Arabidopsis thaliana: one gene and its partners. The protein of the gene in region 2 interacts with the protein of the main gene of each other region in a pairwise test. Each region holds a gene or a part of one and is shown on either strand. Other genes may lie near its edges. The genes, in order: AT5G05200, ETR2 and AT5G63190.

Region 1 (7,466 bases), on a different chromosome or scaffold from region 2:
GACTATATGTATCACAACAACCCAAGGGCAAGAGGTCAGGGCCAAGGAAGTAGGATCTCAGGTGAAATGGGAAGAAACCATGGCGGTTGGTATTCAGGTCAGCTTCATAATTCTTACAGTTCATATTCTGCAAGTCCACAGAGACCAATGGAACAACCTGAGTATCATCCGAGATGGAGGCGTGAGATAGTCTCAGACGTGGAGGATCATCAGCGTAATAGACATGCTGGCCACCACCATGAGTTACAGACCCGTCGTCTAAGAGAGAGACAACGTGTGGCCAAGCGTCATGTCCGTCCAACAGCTGGTGGGGCACCTTTTGTTAGCTGTTACAGTTGCTCAGAAAACCTGCAGCTTCCTGTAGACTTTCTCATTTTCAAGAGGAAACATCATCTTCTCAGATGCGGCACTTGCACCACTGTTCTCAGATTCTCACTTCAGTCCAGAAATCATTTAGTTCCTGCAGTAACACATGACATAAATGCTAATAGGAATAGCAATTCAACATCAGAGTCTCCCATAGACAAAGCTCCCTCCAAACCTGAAAAGCTGAGATCCTCTGTTCAGGATGAGGAGCTACCTGTGGCTAGAGGCTCTCCGCTTCACCGACTAATGGGATATTCTACTGTAAGCCAAGTCTTTAAAGTTTCACAGCGTCCTCCTTCTATATAGATCTCTGCTTCAGATGAAGCAACGAGAACTATGAACTTCTGAGAATCTGAGATGGAAAGTTTTGCCATTGTTTGCCATTCTTTATTTCACTTCTGTGTATAGGTAAAAGATTTGTCTCTGCACTTTTGTTTAAAGTAGAAACCATGACACTTGTGAAAAATTATACAAAAAAATAGAAGAAGATATAGTTCATCTGTTGTATATAGTCATGATATGTTTGTAACAAGATTGAATTCATCATCGTTCTTGGCTTGATAATCTACTATAACATTACCACTTGTAAATAAATAAAAAGTTTGAATAGGTTTAGTGAAGTATATTTGCATAAACTTAGTTGAAGCTGTCCTTGTATCCATTCGTCCTCTTGTTGGACGCGATAGAGATCCGCTGATCCTGCAGCATGTTCAGGTTTGGGGCTAATAGTCTTGTGTATCGATCGAAGTACAGAAGTTGCTTCAACAGAAGTGCAAACTCTCTCGGGAACTTAAGACCATATGATTCGCTAACACGCACCTATAAGAAAGTGAACTTATTTTCAACTGCTGAAAGCTCAAATCCTGGGGTTTATCTTAACTCAATGCAACTTCTATATCCTCTTAACAACTTTCAAACCAAAAAAAAATCCTTAAGAAATTACGTCTAACTGCTTACCAGGTCGAGGAAAAGAGCATTCATCTGTCTCTCATCCATAACTACGTTAGCAGCAACAGCAGTAGTGTCTGAATTTGTTCCACGAGCTGTAGCCACTACTATCTCTGTATCTAGTTCCTGCAAGAAGAGATTCACTTTTCTCTATAAGATTAGCCAAAGTTGTTGTAGTTGTTTTGCACTACAGTTCGGAAAGCAAATCAAGCTGGTTCCTCTGAACAGATGTAGCTGGTTACAGAGAGCCATCATAGTCAGTAAAGAGTAAAATTTCTTGCCTGGATAGATGAGAACATCTTTTCCAAGTCTTTTGCAAAAGCTTTGCCATCAACATCTCTGTTTGTGGCGCCCATTTGAATCAAAGCTGAGGCCATGGATTCATATTCTTCAGTTGCAATAGACGCTAAAAATACTTCCATAGCAGCCCATGTTTTGGGGGATATCCGACCAACAATGCCTGAAAAAAATGTGGATACTTACTTGAATACACAAAAAATTACCAATAAAAAGGAAGAGTATTTATGGAAAAAGACTGCATTTTTCTGTATTAATAGATGAGTCAGAGGTAAGTAGGCAAGAAATGTTGCACTAATTAGGCTTGAGAGAGTATGATTTACCAAAATCAAGAAACCCAATCCGGCCATCACGCAACAGCCATAAGTTTCCTGCATGTACATCAGCATGGAAGCTTTCACAAGCAAGTAAGCTTCCAAACCTGCAAGTTACATCACATGAAGATTCATTTTACTAACAGCTACATTTAGGAGGGAGAACAATCTTAATCATAATATTGAATTTCAAAGATCTTACCACACATTAAGCGCGGTAATAAGGCTGTTTTCGGGACTGGAAACAAGTGATCTTATAGAGTCCAGATCAGTCAGAGGAACTCCATATAGCCTCTCCATTGTAAGTACCCGCCGGCTGCTGCAGTACTTATATACTCTTGGAGCAGTAGCTTGCCCTGTCAACCCCATGGTTTCAAGATATCTCTTAAATGACTCAATGTTTTGAGCCTCCTTATTGAAATCTACTTCTTCAAGCATTGACTCACGAATATCTTTGACAATTCCAACCTATCCATAGGATAATATTGTTTAGAGAGTATCTTAAGAGCGACTGCAAATCAAATACAGAGGAGATTACCAGTGAAGTACGGCTAAACTCAGGACTAAGGAACTCAAATATACGGGAAACAACGTAGATAAAGTTCAAATCTGCCACTAAGAAATCTTCTATCCCAGGCTTCAAGACTTTAATCACAACATCCTCTTGGGAGCCTCGAAGCCTTGCACCATGGACCTGGTCATGATGATTCCCTTAAGCAGAAGAAGAGTACATGAACAAAATGAATTTTGATCATTGAAGTACAAGTAGAAGAACACACTTGTGCTATTGAGGCTGATGCAATTGGCGTAGGGTCAACATATTCGTATACACTTTCAATGGGTCTCCCAAGCTCCTCTTGCAAGATTTTACGAATTTCTTCAAATGGCACAGGAGGAGCTTTGTCAAAGCAGTTCTGAAATTCTTTGACATATTCTGGTGGGAACAAAGTTGGCGCAGATGCTATAAACTACAAATTCAAAGATACATTACAAGTATTGTTAAATGGATAGAATAGGAAATATATAGAGAAGCAACAAAATATGATAACTAAGCTTACTTTAGACATACACAGTTCACATGGTTCTAGATATTTACATGATATCATCAGAGGATACAATATGCTCTACATTTAGCAACATGATTTACCTGGCCCAGCTTAATGTAAGTAGCTCCCATGCGTTCAAAGAGTTTCCTCAAATATAGAGGAGACAGTAGACCAAGCTGCAATTCACTTGGTAATCCACCAGACGCGCTTGTAGACTGCAGCGAGTGAGAGAGTAGTTAGCAATCAAAGATAGTTTGACATCATAAGCAAAAAGATAATTTCAGCCACCTTAGATAAATCATTTAGCCACTCTCCTCCAACCCCTACAAAGGCTTGAACACCTTGGACAAGGCGTGTCACACCTCGTGGACCTGTGTTTATCGATGTCTGAACTATATCCTCAACCAATTTGGGCAATTTCTCTATCTGGCCTGCATCAAAAGCCATGTAAACAAGTAAATGGATCAATAAACTGTCATCCAATATGTAGATTTTTACAAAATAAATCCAATAAGCAACAAAGAATACCCTAACGAGATACAATTCAGAATCATAGATGTATACAATGAGATTGAGTTTACAAGAAGAAGGAAATTTCTGTACTTTGAAGACGAGAAGTGAAAAGGTCCTGAGTTTGCGAATACTGGGCTGTAAGAACAAAACCCTTGAAATTCCTGGCTCCGATCATCTTCTTAGACGTTCCTGACACAGTTCTCGCGACGGGAAACTGAAAAATGAAGCTATCGAGATTGAGCAGCGAGTAAAGGACCTTTGCAAATTTTGGTAGCTAAGCCATAAAGAGCAGATCAAGGAAACGACTTTACTGAAGGAAAGAGAAGAGAAAACAAGTAAACCTGAGAATGGTGAAATAACGGTAACCGCGTGCCACGGAAAGCTGAGACCGCCATCGTTCGCCGGCGATTGAAGCAGCAGAGACAAGACACTCCGGTCAAGCTTTATTACTCACAAAACGCACAGAAAAGCGACACCGTTTTGTATATTTTGAAAATTGAAAATATCCTGAGGCGGAGTGAAGGGGAATATGCCACGTGGAAACGTGTAAGTGGTTGTTTTCCTCCTCACAAGTCACAACATATTCGTGAAAAACTCTCGGTACGATTCGATTTCCGGTTAACCTCTTTTAAATCCCATTAAACCGAACCGTTTTTGCGACGCTGGAGGAGAAGTTGAGATAACGCGGTTTTACATAAATACCCTTATAAAAATTGAGAAATAACAAAACCATTCAAACCCTAACCACTTTCACGGAACCTCTTCATCTTCGTCTCTCTGTCTTTTTTCTTCTCTCAACGCCGTTGATTCGCCATCGTCGCTACCGGTGAGATTTTCCTTCGATTGTCTTTCTTTTATTCCATCAATTCGCTCTCTTTCCATCTGGGTTTGTGCTTGTAGCTTAAAAAAATTGATTATAGAGTCAGAATTGTTTATCACTTAAGATAATGAGTTCTGAGTTATAATGATTCCTGAACTGATATGTAGAAACTTCAACTTTTATTTGTTTCTACGATTCATCCTTGTTTGCTTTAGGGTTCTTCTATTCTTTGTAGGATAAGATTTGTTTCTTTGGCTTGTTTATGTTTGCTTCTTATCCTCTTTATTCATCCTGAGCTTGTTATACTGGGGAAACTTGTTGTATTATACTAAGGTTTCTGTTTCTCTTCTGGATAATGAATAAGGATATTTGCTCAATTACACAACTTGGAATTTTGTTTTTATGGATTAATGGTGTCTACAAAGTCATCTTCTTTAGTTCTGTATCTATCTAGCAAACGAGTAAACTTGGTGTCACTTGATGTGATTCAGTGACTTGCTCGATTCTGACAAGATGCAGGAAATTCTGAATGTATTTGTACCAGCTTAGTTATAGCTATGTATAATGTATATCGAAATACATGTCTTATGATATCTGTAGTCTTTCACAGTTACTAATATATCCTTGTTTTATTGCTGCAGATTGTCTTGAGGTTTACGACTTTTGGACTAATCTCCTCTGTGGAGAGCAATGACTAAAACTCGTGGGACTGATGTAAGTTTTGATTTCCACTGTTAACTTTTTATCATCTAATATTTTGTTAATCTGCCATTGTAAGTCTTGATTCTATAGTTTTTATGAAACTTGGACTATGAGTCCTTAGTTTATTATTTGTCATTTCTCCAAAAGGGCTTTTTTCTGATTGTGATTGGTTTTGGTTATTGTTGTAGATGACAAAGAAAAAGGGTAAACATGTTTCTGAAATGGATTTCAAGACTCATCAGCATACTGAATTTTTCGATAAGTTGATAGAGCTCACGCCTGCTAGATTCTACTTACCTGATGAGACAGAAAGGAAATGGTATCCAGGTCTTAGCAAGGCTCAAAAAGCTAGAGCCAAGAAAAAAACAAATGACAACCTAAAGAAGGCGAAGAGAGATAAGTTGGACCCAGAGAAGTCTGCTTTGACGACTCTCGATTTACTGAAGGAGAAGATAGAGAAGGAAAGATTGGCTTCACAGAAGCAGAAGCTTAAGAAGAAACACGCGGATTTACGGGAGCAGAAGCTAGAGCAGGAAAAATCAGGTACTGAGCTTCCTGATGATGACAGTAAGAAGGAAACAGATAACAACAGACTAAATGATGATGACAGTAAGGAGGAAACAGATAATAACAGACAAAAGGATGATCGATCTGTTACGTACGAAGAGCTAAGGGAACGCCTCCACCGCAAAATTGATGAGCTCAAAGGTGGTCGTGGAGGTTCAGATAGACCAAGAAGCAATGAAAGAAGGAAGAAGAATCTGCCAAATAAGAGAAAGAGGGATACAGTTTCTGAGGAGAAGACTGTGGAGGAGATTAAGTCAGCAGATAAAGGTAAGGGTAAGTTGGATGTGGAGGAGGCTGCTAAGGACCTTACATTTGGTTATGTCAAGATTGATGACGATGAAGAACACGGAAAAGAGAAAAAGAAACGAAGGCTTTCAAAGGCAAGAGAACTTGAAAGGGCTATGAAGTTAGAGGCTGCAAAGAAGGATCCAGAAAAAGGTGATGTAATTGCAAAGAAGCACTCATGGAAGGCAGCTACAAGCAGAGCAGCTGGTATCAAGGTTCATGATGACCCAAAGCTATTGAAGCAAAGCATCCACAAAGACAAAAAGAGGCAAGAGAAGAACGCAGAGAAGTGGAAAGAGAGAATTGAAGGGCAACAAAAGTTCAAGGTGGAGAAGCAGCAAAAGAGATCAGGGAATATTGCCGATAGGATTGAACAGAATAAGATGCGCAAAATCGCCAAGAGAGAGAAAAAGCTCCTGCGTCCTGGCTTTGAAGGCCGCAAAGAAGGGTTTATCAATGAAGGTGGAAACTAGAATTCAAGTCTTCCACACGCCTTTTGTGTTCCAACATTTCAACGATGTGATCCTCACAAAGGCTGTGAAGAGGGTTTTTGCACATCTGAAATCGAAAAACATATTTTGGGAATTTTCATCTAGTCAAGTCCCTAGCAATATTTGTTATCTTCTTGTTCGTTTTACTTTGCAGTTTGTAGACTTTTCAGATGTTCCATTTGCTACTCAATGTGTTGTTCCTTACAGTGAATGCTCTTATCAGGCAGGTTTTAGATAAACTTGTCACAGAAATTAGCATATATTGAATGCGAGATTACAAATACTAGGTAATTCAAGCTAGATAATCAATGCAAGTTGTGTTCATTTAGATTTACTTTGATCTGAAGTCATATGTGAGAAATCAAACTAATCCGAGTAGATTTGAATTATTAACTTTTGTTGGATCCGATTTGGCCTGGTTCATACTACAGAAAATATCTTTCAGAAAAGTTCTAGATCTAAACAAACGTGTCTGATTTAGAACAGTAAGCTTTACTATGCTAAACAAAAAGCTTGGATAAAGCCGAAAAGAGAGTCAAAGTAGGTCGGTGAAAGAGTCTCGAGACACGTGGCACAAGAACCAGCTTGGGGAATCTCGAAAACTCTCTTACTCATCGCCATTCCCACACGTATGATGAATGACGTGTGCCAATGGATCACATTACCCAAACCTTATATAAACCCACCGAGAGACCCAACAAAACTCTACCAGACAAAACAATGGAAGCTATCTCTCAAACCTGCACAAAGATCATCACCAACCCATCTCAGAGGATATATAAAACCTCATCTCCAGTCACGGCAATTCCACAAACAAAGCTGAGCCTTAAAGTCAAGAAGGAGAGGTGGGTTGCTGCTGCTAGATGCGTGGCTTCAGGATCGGATTATGCTGCGGCAATGGAGCCAATTACGCCGGAGGAAGAGGAGGAATTGACTCAGAGAAGAGGGATATGTGGTGGAGAAGTAAACAGAGGAGTATGGGAGCTCTTGGAGTGCCTTGAGAAAGAAGCTATTATGGGGAATGATGATGGGAGAGATCCTAGAGATTACAATAGAAGAGCAAAGATTTTTGACAAGAGTTCTAAGATCTTCAAGAACTTAAATGAACAGAGAGATC
Region 2 (7,466 bases):
AGCAATTATTTTTGATCAACTTAAATAAGCCTATATATTTTCTGAATAATTGTTTTTCGAAATTAGTTACTTATGAAAAATAACTAACAATAATAACTTCCTAGTACCACAAATTTCCTAAGATTCTTAATTTATACACAAAAGAAAATTTTAGACGCGATTTAGACTAGCACATCAGTTATTTACATAATTTTACTTATGATGTAATGTAACAAATCAATCTTTTTTCTTCTTCTTTATTTCTCTAAACTGTTTTACTCGCAATAACTGTAGGCAGCCGGGGGAAATATTTGGATTCTTGAAAGTGTAAAGTGAAGAGTGGTTATCTATTTGGACATGATTGTTTTCACTGTAGTTATCAAATAATTAGTACTTTAACTAATAATTAAGACTAATCTGTCAAAGATTGTCGGGTTCGAAGAAACAAATGTATAAGCACAAGTGGGTTTGAATATATAATTGCAAGTTACGTAAACCCATCTCTTCCCTAGATTCACTTTCTGCAAATCCAATCCATTTCTACTTTATTTTATGCAGTTCTTTTAGTTTAATAGGCTCGAGGAATGTGCAGTTTTGTTTAATGTAATCTTCTCTAGTCCAGGGGGCATGAATCTAACAAATAATTACTATATTTTGATTTTTACTGGTAACAACTAATAAAGTCACACATTTTTTTCAATGATTCTTTTGTTTGAAAAGTTTATTACAAAAGTGGCAGACGACATTATCTACAACTTTTCATGTTCCAGGATAATTTAAGAGAGCTCTAATACCTACTAGAGAATTAACTTGATGTAGAGTAGTAACGAAGAAAATTTATCTTCAAAACTCTATAATGCCATATTCAGTTTCGTAAGTTCGTAACATAAAGAAAACAAAAAACTACGAAACTGACTCCTTCTTGACCCTACGAAATACTAAGATTCAATGCAATTTCGTGGGGTTCAAAATGAGAAAAAGAACAAAAAAAAACAGGATGTACAAATCATAGAGATATGGGTGGTATATATAATAACAATTTCGAAATTTCATTTTGATATATTTGACATAAATCTATGGTGTAAAAATTTTGAATGTAGAAGAGAAGTTGAGATAACAACTTAGAGAAGTTGGTCAGCTTGCAACAATACTCTTCGGAGCTCACTCTCCATAGCTCTTAACACCACTGGCTTTCTCACAACTCCATTGATTCCAATCTGTGCACACTTGTCCCACATTTCTTCATCCAAGCTCACTGTCGTCGCCACAATCAACGGCCAAGATCGACTCCTGATCCTCATGGCCACTTCATAACCGTCCATCTCTGCCATTTGAAGATCAAGCACCACCACTTGAAACGAAGTAGAAGGCGAGGACGAGCCGGGAGCAATGGCGGTAAGGCAATCGAATCCAGAGGAAACCGCGGTTACATCGCACCCGAGTTTCTCTAAGAGTTTACGTGTAACTGCCCGGTTCGAATCGTTGGTGTCTACCAATAAAACTTGTAAGCCACGTAACAGAGAATTCGAATGTGGGTGAGCGTGGTGGTCAGGAGCTGGCGACTCGCTGGATCCATGGACAGATATGGAGGGTCTACGTCGAAACCGAAGGAGCAACGACATGGTCTCCGGTGAACCATCCGAGCCAGGGACCACCGAGATATTCCCATGAATCAACTGCACACATTATCAAAGAACTCCTAAACAGAAACTCAGACTAATGACAGGAACTTTAGAAAGAGATATGTAAGGAAACTCACCTGCACCACTTTCTTACAAACACCAAAGCTTAGATCTTGTCCTAACCCATAGCCGCCGGAGAATCTAACATCACCAACTTCTTGATCTCTGGAGGAAACAGAAGCAAATGATTGAGAACTTGAATCATCATTCTCTACATTCATTTCAAATCTTATATACACATCTCCATCTGCTGAAGAAGCCGGTGATCTCCAAGCAGCCCATCTATGATCACTCCTATCCAAGCTTCCTCTTTCTTTCAAAACCTTAAACATCAATGAAGATCCTTCTTGACGTTTTCTAGGCTTTACTAAACTACCAACTATATGAAGTATCACTTGAAAGACCCTTCTTTCATCACCTACTACATTATCAGGTAGAGACTTCTCCGCGTCAACCAAGAACCTAATTCCATTGCATAGACACAAACATCTCGCCATACAAGCTGCTTCATGGATCGTACGATGCAGACTAAATGGTTTCATCTCCGTACCAAATCTACCGTCAGGCACATCCATAGAGTCCCCCACCAAATTCGACATAACATTCCCTGTTTTAACCATCGTATCAACAATCATTTTCTGCTCGTCACTCAACTTCTCGTCCTGAATCATCGACAAAAGACCGAGTATCGAATGCATAGGACGCCTCATCCCTTCGCTCATCGTTTTCTGAAACGCATTCCTCGCTTGGCTCGCTCTCAACGCGTCTCTCTTCGCCATCTGCAACGCCCTGTTCTGTTCCGCCAGCTTCTCCCTCATAAGCTGAGACTCTTCAAGAACCGCTGCATGATCTAACGCAACGGTTACTTGATCCGCCACAACTTTAACAATCTCAATCTCCTGATAAGTCCAATCCCGAGGCGTCCCGCCCGGTAAAACACAAACAAGTATCGCATAACTTAGCTCTCCATTAAAATCCGAAACACGAAGCATCGGCATTCTAATAGCAGCCACGGCACCAATCTCACTAACATCCCCACCACCACCACTAGCTCGAGCAATGGACGAGTCAACACTCAACACATTCACTTCATCACTCTCCCTAATCCTAACAACATCCAAATCCTCCATAGAAACAGAACAACCACCATAACCACCTCTCCCTCTCAACTCATGAGTCAAATCCATCTCCGTTCCACCGTCATTCGGCATCCAAACCGCACAATTCTGCAACCCTAAAGTCTTCGAAAGCTCAACCAAAGTAGTATAAAGAATCGTATGACGATCCAAAGACTTACGAATCTCTTGAGTAAGCATACGAACATGAAAGCCAGTCTCTTTCTTAATCAAAATCAAACCAACTTCACGACCAAGCTCATGAGCTTTCTTCTTAAGCATAAACTCTCTAACTTTAACTTTCAAAAGCAGAGGAATCAAAGTAATAAGCGTAATCGCAGTAGCACAAGAGACTAAAGCAGTCAACATCTTGAAAACAGTAAACGCCATCATTAATCTAAATGGATGAGCAGAGTAAGTCCAACCATGAAGAAGATGAGTCATACCACAAAGAACAATGAAGGCGATAAACTCAAAGAGAACCCATTTGAATGGAACATTGGAACAACTCACGAAGTAAAGTAACTCAATAGGGATTGAGAAATAAGCTACTGCGATTAAGAAATCGCTTACTCTTTGAGTTTCTAGAATGTTCTCTGTACTCCAGAAACTGTTTCCTTCGTCTTCGCAGTTACATCGTGGATAACCACCGCCGTTTATAGCTAAAACCGGAGAAACAAACACCACCATTGATAGTATCAATAACCAAGAAGCTATTTCTTTAACCATCTTCGGAGAAAAAAAATGCTTAGTCCATTATACTCTGCAATTAGAAAAACAAGAAACAGAGTGAGAAATAAAAATCAAAACTTTAATTTGGGTAATAGTAGAAAGAACAGAGAAAGAAAAATTTGGAATACCTGAAAGAGATGAGTTTGGATCAAAATGAAACAGTTCTCAGATCTCTCATCGACCTGTGAAATTCCAACGAAGTGATGTACGAGAATCTTCTAATTCTCTTCGACATTCCGATCTTCCTCTCATAGAAGAACAACGATGACGAGAATAAAAATACACAAAGAGAAAGACAGAGACAGAACAAAAAAAGCTGGTGATGACAAAACCAGAAGACTTAAAAGTGAAGAGATAGAGACAAATCTGAAACTACTTTGAAGTTATATAAAAAAACGTGAAGTACGTTTATTTATATATGCCGGAGATGATTAGTGCCGGAAAACCGCCATAAGCCGCCGATGGAGGATAAAAAGAGAAGTGTATGTATAGGGTGTAAGTAAAGGTAGGAGCCGTTGGTTTTAGAGGAAGGTTTTGAGATTTTTTCTTCTTCTTTATTCTCTGATTTAGAAACTTAAAGAGGTCCCACTTGTTCTTACATGAACCGAACTTAGACGGTCTTTTGAATTTTTTCTGAGTTGTGTTTTTTTTCTTACACTTAATAATTTTTTGGTCACTAATGTATTAATAAATCATTTAATATTGAAAACATTTGTTATTTCCTCAACTTGTACGTTTTATAAATTTAACTTATTACAAGCTGTAACATAGAATAATTAATGGGTACTCTGAATTTTATCAAAATCCCGTATATCATGAGACTGAAGAATAGAATAAAGCTTGTTTATTTGTATATGAATGAGTAAAATATTGGTATAATTGTTGGAAACTATCAAGCCACATGACATGAATCTAGGAACCTAAAAATTATTTTAATAAATGTGTTTTATTCCAAGAAAGTATAAAATTAAGACCAAGGAGGCAAATAGATCATATATTTCTTAAATTAGCTTTGTTTATAAACAAAAGAGCACAAAATCTAACGTAATCACTGTGTTTTGAACTGACACAAGTAGTCGGATATTTGATGAGATTAGTCTAATACTCTAATTAGATATTTTAATTAGTCAAATATTTACAAAAAGAAGATATGTATAACGCCTTAAGATGTTGATTAATATGAGGGACCTACAAAACTGTGATCTTTGATTTTATTATAATGTTTCCTTCACCATACATGAATCTAAAGAGTAATGAGTATATATTTGAAACCACATTGCTATTACTTTCCTAACTTTTAATTGTATGGTTTTGACTCTAGAAGAAACCATGTTAGACCACAGAATGTCAGAATCGCATGTGTTCTTTTATATTGAAGCTCTAATTAGTATCTACCAATCATCTTTGAAAAACATCATTGTTTAAAGCCTTTGTACATATTTATTTTATTTATTGATAGTACTATCTAAAGAAATTGAACCTAGAAGTTTTTAGACGACACGTTACCTAAGTTTTTTTTGTTGGTGTTTTTAGTGGTCACTGTAACAACAGAGAGTTTTAGCATCACTACCTATAACCATAATCTTGATGCTTCAAACGGAGTCATACAATTACAGAACAAAAAAAAATACATTGAAACTCTTGAGCATATTTTGTGAAGCTAGTTCGGATAATTTTGAATTTCCACAAGTAACAAAGTTTCTTGTTGTTTTTGTAATAAATCCCATCTTTATCTATAGAATGAGTACAAAGTCTCAAGAGACATTTAACTTTTTGCAACGATCTAGAAGAAAACACTTTAAAAGGCTCTCATGCGTTCTTCTTGCTTAACAATTAGTCACCGACTGTCAAATGCAAATGTTCTCCTAGAACCACAGTCATAACAGGGTGCTTTTCAATGCATGAGCACAATGAGAAGGAAACCCATATATCAAATATACAACTTATATATGACCATTAATCGCTTCGGTTACATTTATTTACCTCACGGGCAACACCTTCGTTTTTCAAAGATTCATCTTCTCGTAGATCAAGAATTACCATAACATCATATCTGAACCATGAACGAATGCAAATATTATATGTTTCCTCAACAATAGAGCATAGAGAAGTGGTATTTTTAATTAAGATATGTACTATCTACAGCTGCATCAATCTCTGTATCTTTCAAACCATCTGGACGTTTGAAATCTCTGACAATCTAAACAACACATGAACAAAATGTGTCATGAACATGGGTTCTTGAAGATACTGTAAACTTAAACAAGAAAGAAAATAAACTTAATGTTAAAGGTGGTGATATAAGGAAGATGTTGTCAAATCTAACCTTCTTAATTATCTCGTTCTCAAGACAAACACGATAGTCATCTGCACCAAAGACAGGAGCACAATGGACAATACCAGTACCACTATCATTCATGACATAATCATCTGCTACTAGTCGAAAAGTCACACTTGAGAAATCGCTAAAAGTAATCAAACAAAGGTTCATACTTCTTCCCAACCAAGGAATCTCCATTAAAATTTTCCAAAACTTGATAAGAATCCTCTTCACTGTCAAGCTTAATTAGCACCTTTCGCATTATGGTATCACTAGTAAGTTCCATTAGTTAAGCCGGCCTTAGGCTTATCACTAGGAAGCGATGACAACCGAGATTCAGCAACAATGTAGACTTTTCCAGTGTTGTTGACGAACCTTAAGATAGACAAACTTTGCATTGACACACAAAGCAAGATTACTTGGAAGAATCCATGGAGTAGTAGTCCATGCCACAAGAGCCGTATTATCTTGGATCTCCGATAACAGGGAATGTAACCATTACTAAATATGCAACACAATATGCAACAATAAATATGCAAAAAAAATATATATATTTAACACAAAAAAAAAAAAAAAAATGCAACAACAGAATGTTATAATCTTCATTAGCAACAAGGCCAACAACAACATACCTTATAGTTCTGACCAGCTTCAAAATTAGATAGTGGTGTTTTACAACCAGTACTATAAGGCATAACCTTGAAGCATCTATAGACAAGATTCTTATAAAAAAATCAGCCTACTACACCCAATTAAAATCTTTAATTTGAGTTATATATTTTAACACCGTCATTTCAATTTTTCCATGATTTTTAAGCCCAGCAAATCATAATCTGGCTCTTGAAATTTACGAACCCAAAAATCAAACCTCCAAATGATATTGGGCCTTTTAACTGGTCATACTTTGATCGCTACTTCTACTTCTAAACTTCAACTTTCAGTTCATAAAACCCAGATTTGACTTTCATTTACTCTCCTTTATTTTTTATGCATGTAATATACTATCACATTTTTATAATCATAATTTGTTTTACAACATCAAGGCTATGATTGATTCATATGAGCTCACATGGGTCTGCAAAAATGTAGTTTCTAAATTTGGAAGGCTTTTCAAATGGTGTAAATTATAAACTTCACCAACCTATTATTAAAACGCATATAATGTTTATCCCATTGCAGTTCGAATTCATTCATAATATAAGTTTAAACTTACTTTATAATGTAAATTCATACAAACCCACTTGAAATGTAAATTCATGTAAAATATTATACAAGAGAATGATAGATAGTCTTTGATTATACAAACCCAAATTTCATACAACGTAACTAATTATTAGAACATATTACGCAAAACTACTTGATCTATAGATCTACACTAATATATAGTTATGGAAAAGAACAATAATCCTGTACTATACAAACCCAACTTCAGACAACAAGAACATTTTTTTTTCTTTTTGAAAAAGGTATAACAAAAACATTACTCAAATTAACCTATTTGATCTATAATTTTTAAGTGAAAAATATAGTCTTGAATTATACAAACCCAAACTTCATACGATCATGATAAAAACATGACTCCAAGTCCAACATATTTTGATCATACTACATATATATTGAAAACATATATAAACACCA
Region 3 (7,466 bases), on a different chromosome or scaffold from region 2:
CTGATCTTTTTGGCTTCTACTTCTCCTGGTTCCACCTCCTTGCATGTTAATATACCTCCCTCTTGATGACTTTCCTCGTTACTCAACCTAAAACACACAAAAATGTATTTAAGTTAAGAATCATGAAGCTTCTCCTATCCCCCAAAGCAGTAAGAATCAAACTCTACTTATCAAAAAAAAAATTCCCCATTTTTAGACTCTTGCTGAAAGATATCCAAAGTCTCGATTTTTAGATTTTGCGGCATAAGAAGACATCAATATATTCAACCCCGTAACAAAAATGTCACTTCAAACATATGTTTCTTCCGAACAGAGGAAAAAAAAATCTCAGCAAAAGAAAGTTAGTCGAAAGCAACAGAAAGAAATAGGTTAATTAGCTGAAACACACACAACTACGTATGTAGAAGTACCTAGTGATGGGAGGAGGAGTAGGGATTGGAATGGATGAGTCAAGATCATCAGTCTCAGGAGGATTGAAATTAAGGTCAGCTAAAACTACAAGCTTTAGAGGTCGAGAAGGAGAGTCAACGGTCATGGGTTCGCATTTGACGGCGATCGTCTCCGGGCGGTCCATTGATGGTGCTGAGTACGCCGGACAGTAAAGTTGAGCAGAAGAAGAAAGAATCAAAACAAATATAAAAACGAGGATAAAGCTGTTTGGCAACGAGTATTGGTCTATCCTTTTGTTTGCTCTATCCCGGAACCGGAGTCATAATTATCTCACCGACCGAACAAATATATTTTTATTTATCTTTTTATAATTTAATTACCATATTTTCTATATTTATAAATAATTTTCATAAAATATCACAAGAGTAATAAGTTAACACAAATTAACCATGCTAATAACTTATTTTCAATGTAACAAAAATCCATCAGAAATTAGAACACACTAAAAGATATCAGTACAAAGACAAAACACAACAACCAGACAGAAACACATGAACATATAAACATCTCATGTTTATCTACTAACTGAATCCATACATATATGTAGATAGTGAGGAAAGTATCGTAAGCACAAACACAAGAAACTGATAAGAGAACCACTAATCACTGAGTTGCAGAAATCCCAAACTCGGGAAGGATCCAACCATTGTCCATGGCATGACTAGCATACAGCTCAAACTTCTCTTTCGCGTTCGGTATATCAAGCGACAAGTCATCGAGGCTGTCGTTAACACGACCAAACCCTTTCGTCATTTGGTTAGTTGTAATCAATCCTTCACCAAAACACTCCTCAAGCAGATTCAGTAACCGATCATTCTGCTTCTCCATTGCCATCACCAAAGCTTTCTTCACTACTTCGTGGTTGAAAAAAGGCATCCCTAGATCGCGGATACATTGACAAGCTTCTGATGTTACTCCTCCTGTTTCGTATTCTTCTAGGAGTTTCGAGATTTTGTCCTTTGCATCTTCCACTATCCAGCCGGTTCCACCTCCCCAGCTTCTTAGGAGTCTCTCTCCTGCGTGTCTGGCGGAGATAAGAGACCTGGCTGAGCGGACTGTTTCGGTTCCGGTTGATTTTGGAGGCAGCTTGGTTGAGATATCTTCAAGGTTAAGTGGAGCTAAGACGTCGTCAATCACAGCTCTAGCTAAAAACAGAGCAAGTTCGTTTGATGCGTCCATGATATCTAAAGCTGTGTCTTCTGCCGATTCCAGGAGCATAATGAAACCGTTTATGAAATCTTCAGTTGAGAATAGCTCCATGTGAAGAGCAGAAAGAAGAACCGAAGCCATTTCCTTTTCTCTGTTTTTCCTGTCTAGAGCAAGAGTTATGAGCCTCTTCAGAAACACCGGGTTATATTCAGGTGCCCCTAAATCTTGAAGACTGCGGATTAGCTCAGGAATGTCATCTGATAAGAAATATTCCTGAATTATGTTCACTGTATCCTTCTTGTACTGTCTTAGCTTTCCGTCTTGACTCGATTTTTCTCCATCTTGATCAGAGGTTATCTTAAATGAATCATCGAGCCAGCCTCCAGAAATAGCCTTTGGAACTATCGAATCAAACAGCTTTTTGGCAGATGGGATATCTAGAGCAAGGTCATCGAGACTCTCTGCTACTCGGAAGAATCCCTTCACCATTTGACTCGAACTGATCAGTCCTTCTTCAGCAGTTTCCTTCAACAGCTTTAGTACAAGTGACTCAGCGGTTGGAGAATCCATCGCCAGAACCAAAGCCCTCTTCACAACCTCATGATGGAAAAACGAGACACCTAATTCCCTGATGCATCTACAAGCTTCGTAAGTGTCTCCGTTTTCCACGTATTCCTTCAAGATTTCAGATATCTTTTTCTTCGTTTCTTCTACTGTAGTGTGAGTACTACCTCCCCATTTCTTCTCCACTAGTTCTGCATGGTGAGGAGCTGAGAGATAGCTCTTTTCTGCAGTTACAATAACCTGAAACCCTTTGCAAGATTCTGGAAGAATCTTCTTAGATCTAACCAGAAAAACCGGAGGGAGAATTTCGTCAACGATGGCCCGTGCAATAAACAATGCAAGGACATTAACAGCATCAAGGATGTCCACCGCAAGGTCATCAACAGATCTGAGAAGTCTTATAAATCCATCCCTAATTTGATCAGGTAAAATAACATCAGCATACAATGCAGAGAGTAGCACTGAAGCCATTTCCTTCTCCTTATCGTGTCTGTCCATGGCCATAGAAACAAGTCGCTTGGTGAAGTAAGGATGATATTCGCTTGAACCAAGTTCCCTGAGGTCAGATGCCGCCACTTTCACATCCCCGGTGCTAAAGTATTCGTCAATGATGGAAACTACTGACTTTTTGTAATCATTCAACGGGTCTGATACCGGTGAATCAACAAGTCCATCATATGCGTCCTGTTAAATTGAGTATATGAATGAAAAAAGCAAACTACTAATAAAAGATAAAATCAAGGGATGTTAGATACACTAAAGAAACAAGGAAAAGTATCCAACACAAAACAAAAGGCGCAAATATGAAAGTACCTCTCCACTATCGTAATTGGGATCATTCTTATCAATACAGGAGTCACCATCATCAGTGTCAAGAAGCTTTCCCCAAGTTCCTTTGCCACCAGCACCCTCTGCAGATATCATTGCCACATAAGTAAACCATATATCACCTACACACTTGAACTCTTCTACTGAAAACTTAAGTCTTTTCACTAAAGCAAATTTGAAAGGAACTAATAAAGAGTCATATCACTCCCTAAAAGGATCTATTAGCCAAATAACAAGCACAAAAGGTTGAAGAAAGTTTAATACCCTTCTTAACACGAATATGCTTCCCTGAGTGAGTACGTCGCACATGCCTATTAGGAATCCCAGCAACTGGTCCTTTGCCACCAGTGGGAGACTTAATGTTCAGATCAGCAAAGAGAGTATGAGATTTAGGCGATGATGACAAACTTCCAGAATTATGAGTTGCTATTTCAAGCTTTTTCCACTGTCCATCCGTCAAAATTCCCTCACCCGATGCCATCTACAACATTAAAACGACCATTAACTCATAAATCAAATACAGAAATAACCTCATAATCACTCGAACCAACCAAAAAAACTCTTCCTTTTTCCCCAAACTCCTAATAACGATCAGTAAGAACATGAGAAATTTGTATCCCAACGAAATTTCTTCCCATTCAATGATAAAACAAAGAACATGAAACCCATAAACACTGTGAATCATAAGAACACACACACAGTGATATTTTCCACGATTTCTAAACGAGAGACCTTAAAACACTCCAAAAATTCGATTAAGTAAACAAAACATCACAAAGAAGTATGTATACAACTATACAAAACAAAATCTAACCTGTCATACCTGTGATCGCAGGAATCAAATTCCAAATCGTGAAACAAAGTCGTCTTCTTTACTGCTTGGCTCGGATCTCGAGCCAAGACAGAAAAGATAAGGAATCGGATCTCCAGCACCGGAGAAAAACGACCGGAGAGTATCAAAGTAGATAACGATCAATTTATCACTACAAGAGAGTCGCAAAGATTCAAAAGTCACCGATTCCCAGACAACGACGAGAGAGGAAATGGATGAGGATCGCCAATAAAAGTACTACTTTACAACAATATAATAAAGTTTTGTGCATTTGTTTATATACGATGGTACACGTCATCAACGTAATACGTGGAGGGCTTAGAATATTTCCTTCTTTTTTTAATTTAGCCTCCAATTTTTTTAAAGATTTTAATCCAAAACAATGGGCTGTATTGGGTAGGTTCGGCCCATTGAATTAGATATTTTGGGCTGGACAATATCCAATGGTTGACTACGTTAATAAAAGTTTTATGCTTCATGGAATCATATTATTAGATCATGGCCATCATGTTTATAGTTTTAAAACAGATATGGATATTGTATTTTATATTTTTCAAATTATTATGACTAAATTATATCAATATTCATTTTAAATTGTTATTTTAGTGAACGTACTATGTGTATAAAAAAAACAAAAAAATTATAACACTGATAAATGAGTAGAGAAGAAGTTAGCAAGTAGTTTTCAAGCAAAAACCGGTCACATGCCCTTTTGTCTCTATTTTCTGATCCGACGGTTTTCTTTATATCTACCACCTTAAATCCAATCTAACGACTCTATTTCTTTATAGAAAGGTCAATTCTCTACATTTTTTCTTGTTTTTTTTTCACAAGACAATGTCATGAAACTTGAATTGATTTCGTATAGAAGACAAAAAAAACTTGTAAAGTTGAGCATTTGTTCAAAACATTAATTTGTTAAGTTTGCTTATCCAAATGATCAAGTTTCAGTTTGATAAGCCAATGTAGTCAATAATTAAAATGGTTGAATTAGATATTATCATACTCTATATTTAGTTACTTATTCAAATGCGTTCAATTATTTTTGTATTCTATGAATCATGTAAAAAGTAGTGAAAAATGTATATAGATTAGCTTTTGAGCGTTGAGAATATTCTGAAAAAGGAACATTAATGTCGATCGGTTCTCGTGTTTCATCACGTACGAGAACGAAATCATTTACTAATCGAATGAATGTCCAAAACTGTCTAAAATGTAGTGAGAAATGTCATTTAATTGTTTTCTGCAGTTTATGTACCAGAATACACAATTTGCTTAATGTATAAAATAATTTGCTACTAACAGTAATTTAAAAAAAAAAAACTAGACTTAAACTCATGATCCATATTTTTGCCCGAAGTGAAAATTCATCAACATGAATGGCTCTAGCAAAAAGAAAAATGTCGGCGAGACTTGTAATCGAATAGTTGATTAAGTTTTTAAAGACATTGTTCTTTTTAAAGTGTGGAGGAGGAGGAGGATATAGAGTGATGATGCAAATACTTCCCATGTGCATTGATTGTCAACACATTTTGTACCAGCCAAAATTTCAACATAGGGTCTGATTGTTAGATATGAATGAATACACTACTATTCTAAAAACGTTATATGAATTTAAGAAAATTATATGTGTAGAATTTATTGAAAGATTGGACTCGAGCACATGGTTCGGTGGTCCCAAAATCAAACCTCTATGGGCCAGTGTCGGCTCAGTTCTCCTATTCTATTGCTTTTGGTGGGTCTATTCTTTTCTCTTTTCCTGCAAGCAATATCTCTTTGAGACACCAAAAGAAATTCATTTTGTATAAAGATAATAATAATAACAAACACTCTAAAACCAACTTATCAAACAATTCAAAGTGTATCAAATATCGTATTCTTACAATTACAATCCATATACGTTTAGTTATCAAAATATGGTTTAGTAGATAGCAGAAACACTAAAGTATCTCGAAATGTAATACTTTACTATATGAGCTTTAACAAAAAAAAAAAAAAAGGAAAAAAAAAAAATCAGTTAAATTGAGCTAACTGCTATGCTATTGATAATATTCAACCGTTAAAACGTAAAAGTAATGATAAAGGTACAAAAATTAAACCGTAATATTAAATATTAGTACTAAAGTACATTACTAACACAGTGTTGACTTTTGGTGCACCGTACTTAGTGTTTCACCAACATTCAGCTTTAAGTTCGTTGAGATTTTAATTACGAGTTCTGTGTTTTTTTTCTTTAAGCCACGTGACTCATTCCTAGCGTTACCTGAATGTTGAATACAGTATTAAGTGCTATCGGTTTGATAATCTTAATTATTAGAACTGTTGAGCCAATTATATTTGTAATGATGGCTGATATTACTCCTTCCGTTTTTAAATCATAACCAGCTCCGTTTAGCTTGATCAGAATTACATTTCTGAACAACACTTTTTAGTTCAGCCAAACACTTTTTATCAGGTATCATGAAATTTGAATCTTAGGAAACATTTTGCATTATTTCTTCTTCTCTAAAATGACTTGGGTTGATTCCATTCTCACACACCAAAATAATTTCACAAGAAGAGGAAAAAGGTTAAGCAAGGTGGGTCCAATTAACGTCAAGTTGCATGCGCAATAAATCACCCGAAGTGTTCATATGCTATATAGTCTATCGCTTTGCTTTGTCTTTCTCTCTTCACTCATATGTTTCGTCCCAATTCTCTTTTAATACCTTCAAATTTATCAACAACAAAAAGCCAAAGAAACACAATGCTAAATTCTTCATATCTATCCTTCGCACTTATCTTTTTCTGCTGCATTTTGTTCTCCGCTCTCGCTTCGTCTTTGCCCGTTTCCGACCCTGAGCTTGTTGTCGAGGAAGTACACAGGTATATGTTCTAACAAAAATGTAAAAGCATTTTACATACACTCAAATAGTCAAATGTTTGGTATTAGATATTGCTTCCAAGTTCTTTCTATCCAAGGCTAATTTTGATCTTGATCACAAACTCACTTGTTACTATTGCTGCATTAATAGCTATGACTTATGAGTACGCCTAATTACGTACGTCAAGATTAATTAATGCTAATATATTGTCTGTTGGTTAATGCATTAGAAAAATAAACGAGTCCATATCAAGAAGGAAGCTAGGGTTCTTCTCGTGCGGGAGTGGTAATCCAATCGATGATTGTTGGCGATGCGACAAGGATTGGGAGAAAAACCGAAAACGGTTAGCAGACTGTGGTATCGGTTTTGGCAAGAACGCTATTGGCGGTCGTGATGGTGAAATCTATGTGGTCACGGATCCAGGAAACGATGATCCAGTAAACCCTAGACCGGGAACACTAAGATACGCAGTCATTCAAGATGAACCGCTATGGATCATTTTTAAGCGAGACATGACGATCCAACTAAAAGAAGAACTCATCATGAATTCTTTCAAAACCCTAGACGGACGAGGAGCCTCCGTACACATCTCCGGTGGGCCATGTATAACCATACAATATGTAACCAACATCATCATCCATGGTTTACACATACATGACTGCAAGCAAGGTGGGAATACTTACGTACGTGACTCACCAGAGCATTACGGATATAGAACGGTATCCGACGGTGACGGTGTGTCAATATTCGGTGGAAGCCACGTGTGGGTTGATCATTGC

What was found.
Region 1: the proteins of ETR2 (region 2) and AT5G05200 interact in a two-hybrid assay, tested with the Arabidopsis thaliana proteins (one study listed by BioGRID).
Region 3: the proteins of ETR2 (region 2) and AT5G63190 interact in a two-hybrid assay, tested with the Arabidopsis thaliana proteins (one study listed by BioGRID).

What each region holds. Positions count from the first base shown.
Region 1 is NC_003076.8:1,543,204-1,550,669, forward strand, and holds AT5G05200 (Protein kinase superfamily protein), read right to left. Parts: upstream 4,005-7,466; 5' UTR 3,880-4,004; coding exon 3,826-3,879; intron 3,699-3,825; coding exon 3,575-3,698; intron 3,403-3,574; coding exon 3,260-3,402; intron 3,187-3,259; coding exon 3,073-3,186; intron 2,894-3,072; coding exon 2,705-2,893; intron 2,620-2,704; coding exon 2,464-2,619; intron 2,394-2,463; coding exon 2,128-2,393; intron 2,033-2,127; coding exon 1,935-2,032; intron 1,775-1,934; coding exon 1,596-1,774; intron 1,441-1,595; coding exon 1,324-1,440; intron 1,186-1,323; coding exon 1,003-1,185; 3' UTR 804-1,002; downstream 1-803. Other genes in the region: AT5G05190 (hypothetical protein (DUF3133)), read left to right, coding at 1-672; AT5G05210 (Surfeit locus protein 6), read left to right, coding at 4,995-5,018, 5,195-6,331; AT5G05220 (uncharacterized protein), read left to right, coding at 7,070-7,466.
Region 2 is NC_003074.8:8,251,195-8,258,660, reverse strand, and holds ETR2 (Signal transduction histidine kinase, hybrid-type, ethylene sensor), read right to left. Parts: upstream 4,103-7,466; 5' UTR 3,637-4,102; intron 3,540-3,636; 5' UTR 3,506-3,539; coding exon 1,739-3,505; coding exon of another isoform or gene 1,691-1,738; exon of another isoform or gene 1,656-1,690; coding exon 1,101-1,655; 3' UTR 773-1,100; downstream 1-772. Other genes in the region: AT3G23145 (ATP binding / aminoacyl-tRNA ligase/ nucleotide binding protein), read right to left, coding at 5,465-5,529, 5,645-5,708, 5,835-6,020, 6,204-6,302, 6,461-6,523. UniProt on the Arabidopsis thaliana protein: Ethylene receptor related to bacterial two-component regulators. Acts as a redundant negative regulator of ethylene signaling.
Region 3 is NC_003076.8:25,342,151-25,349,616, reverse strand, and holds AT5G63190 (MA3 domain-containing protein), read right to left. Parts: upstream 4,076-7,466; 5' UTR 3,815-4,075; exon of another isoform or gene 3,806-3,814; intron 3,473-3,805; coding exon 3,256-3,472; intron 3,075-3,255; coding exon 2,977-3,074; intron 2,889-2,976; exon of another isoform or gene 2,848-2,888; coding exon 1,054-2,847; 3' UTR 817-1,053; downstream 1-816. Other genes in the region: AT5G63200 (tetratricopeptide repeat (TPR)-containing protein), read right to left, coding at 1-87, 411-574; AT5G63180 (Pectin lyase-like superfamily protein), read left to right, coding at 6,504-6,688, 6,917-7,466. UniProt on the Arabidopsis thaliana protein: Involved in target of rapamycin (TOR)-regulated translation control, especially under energy-deficient conditions.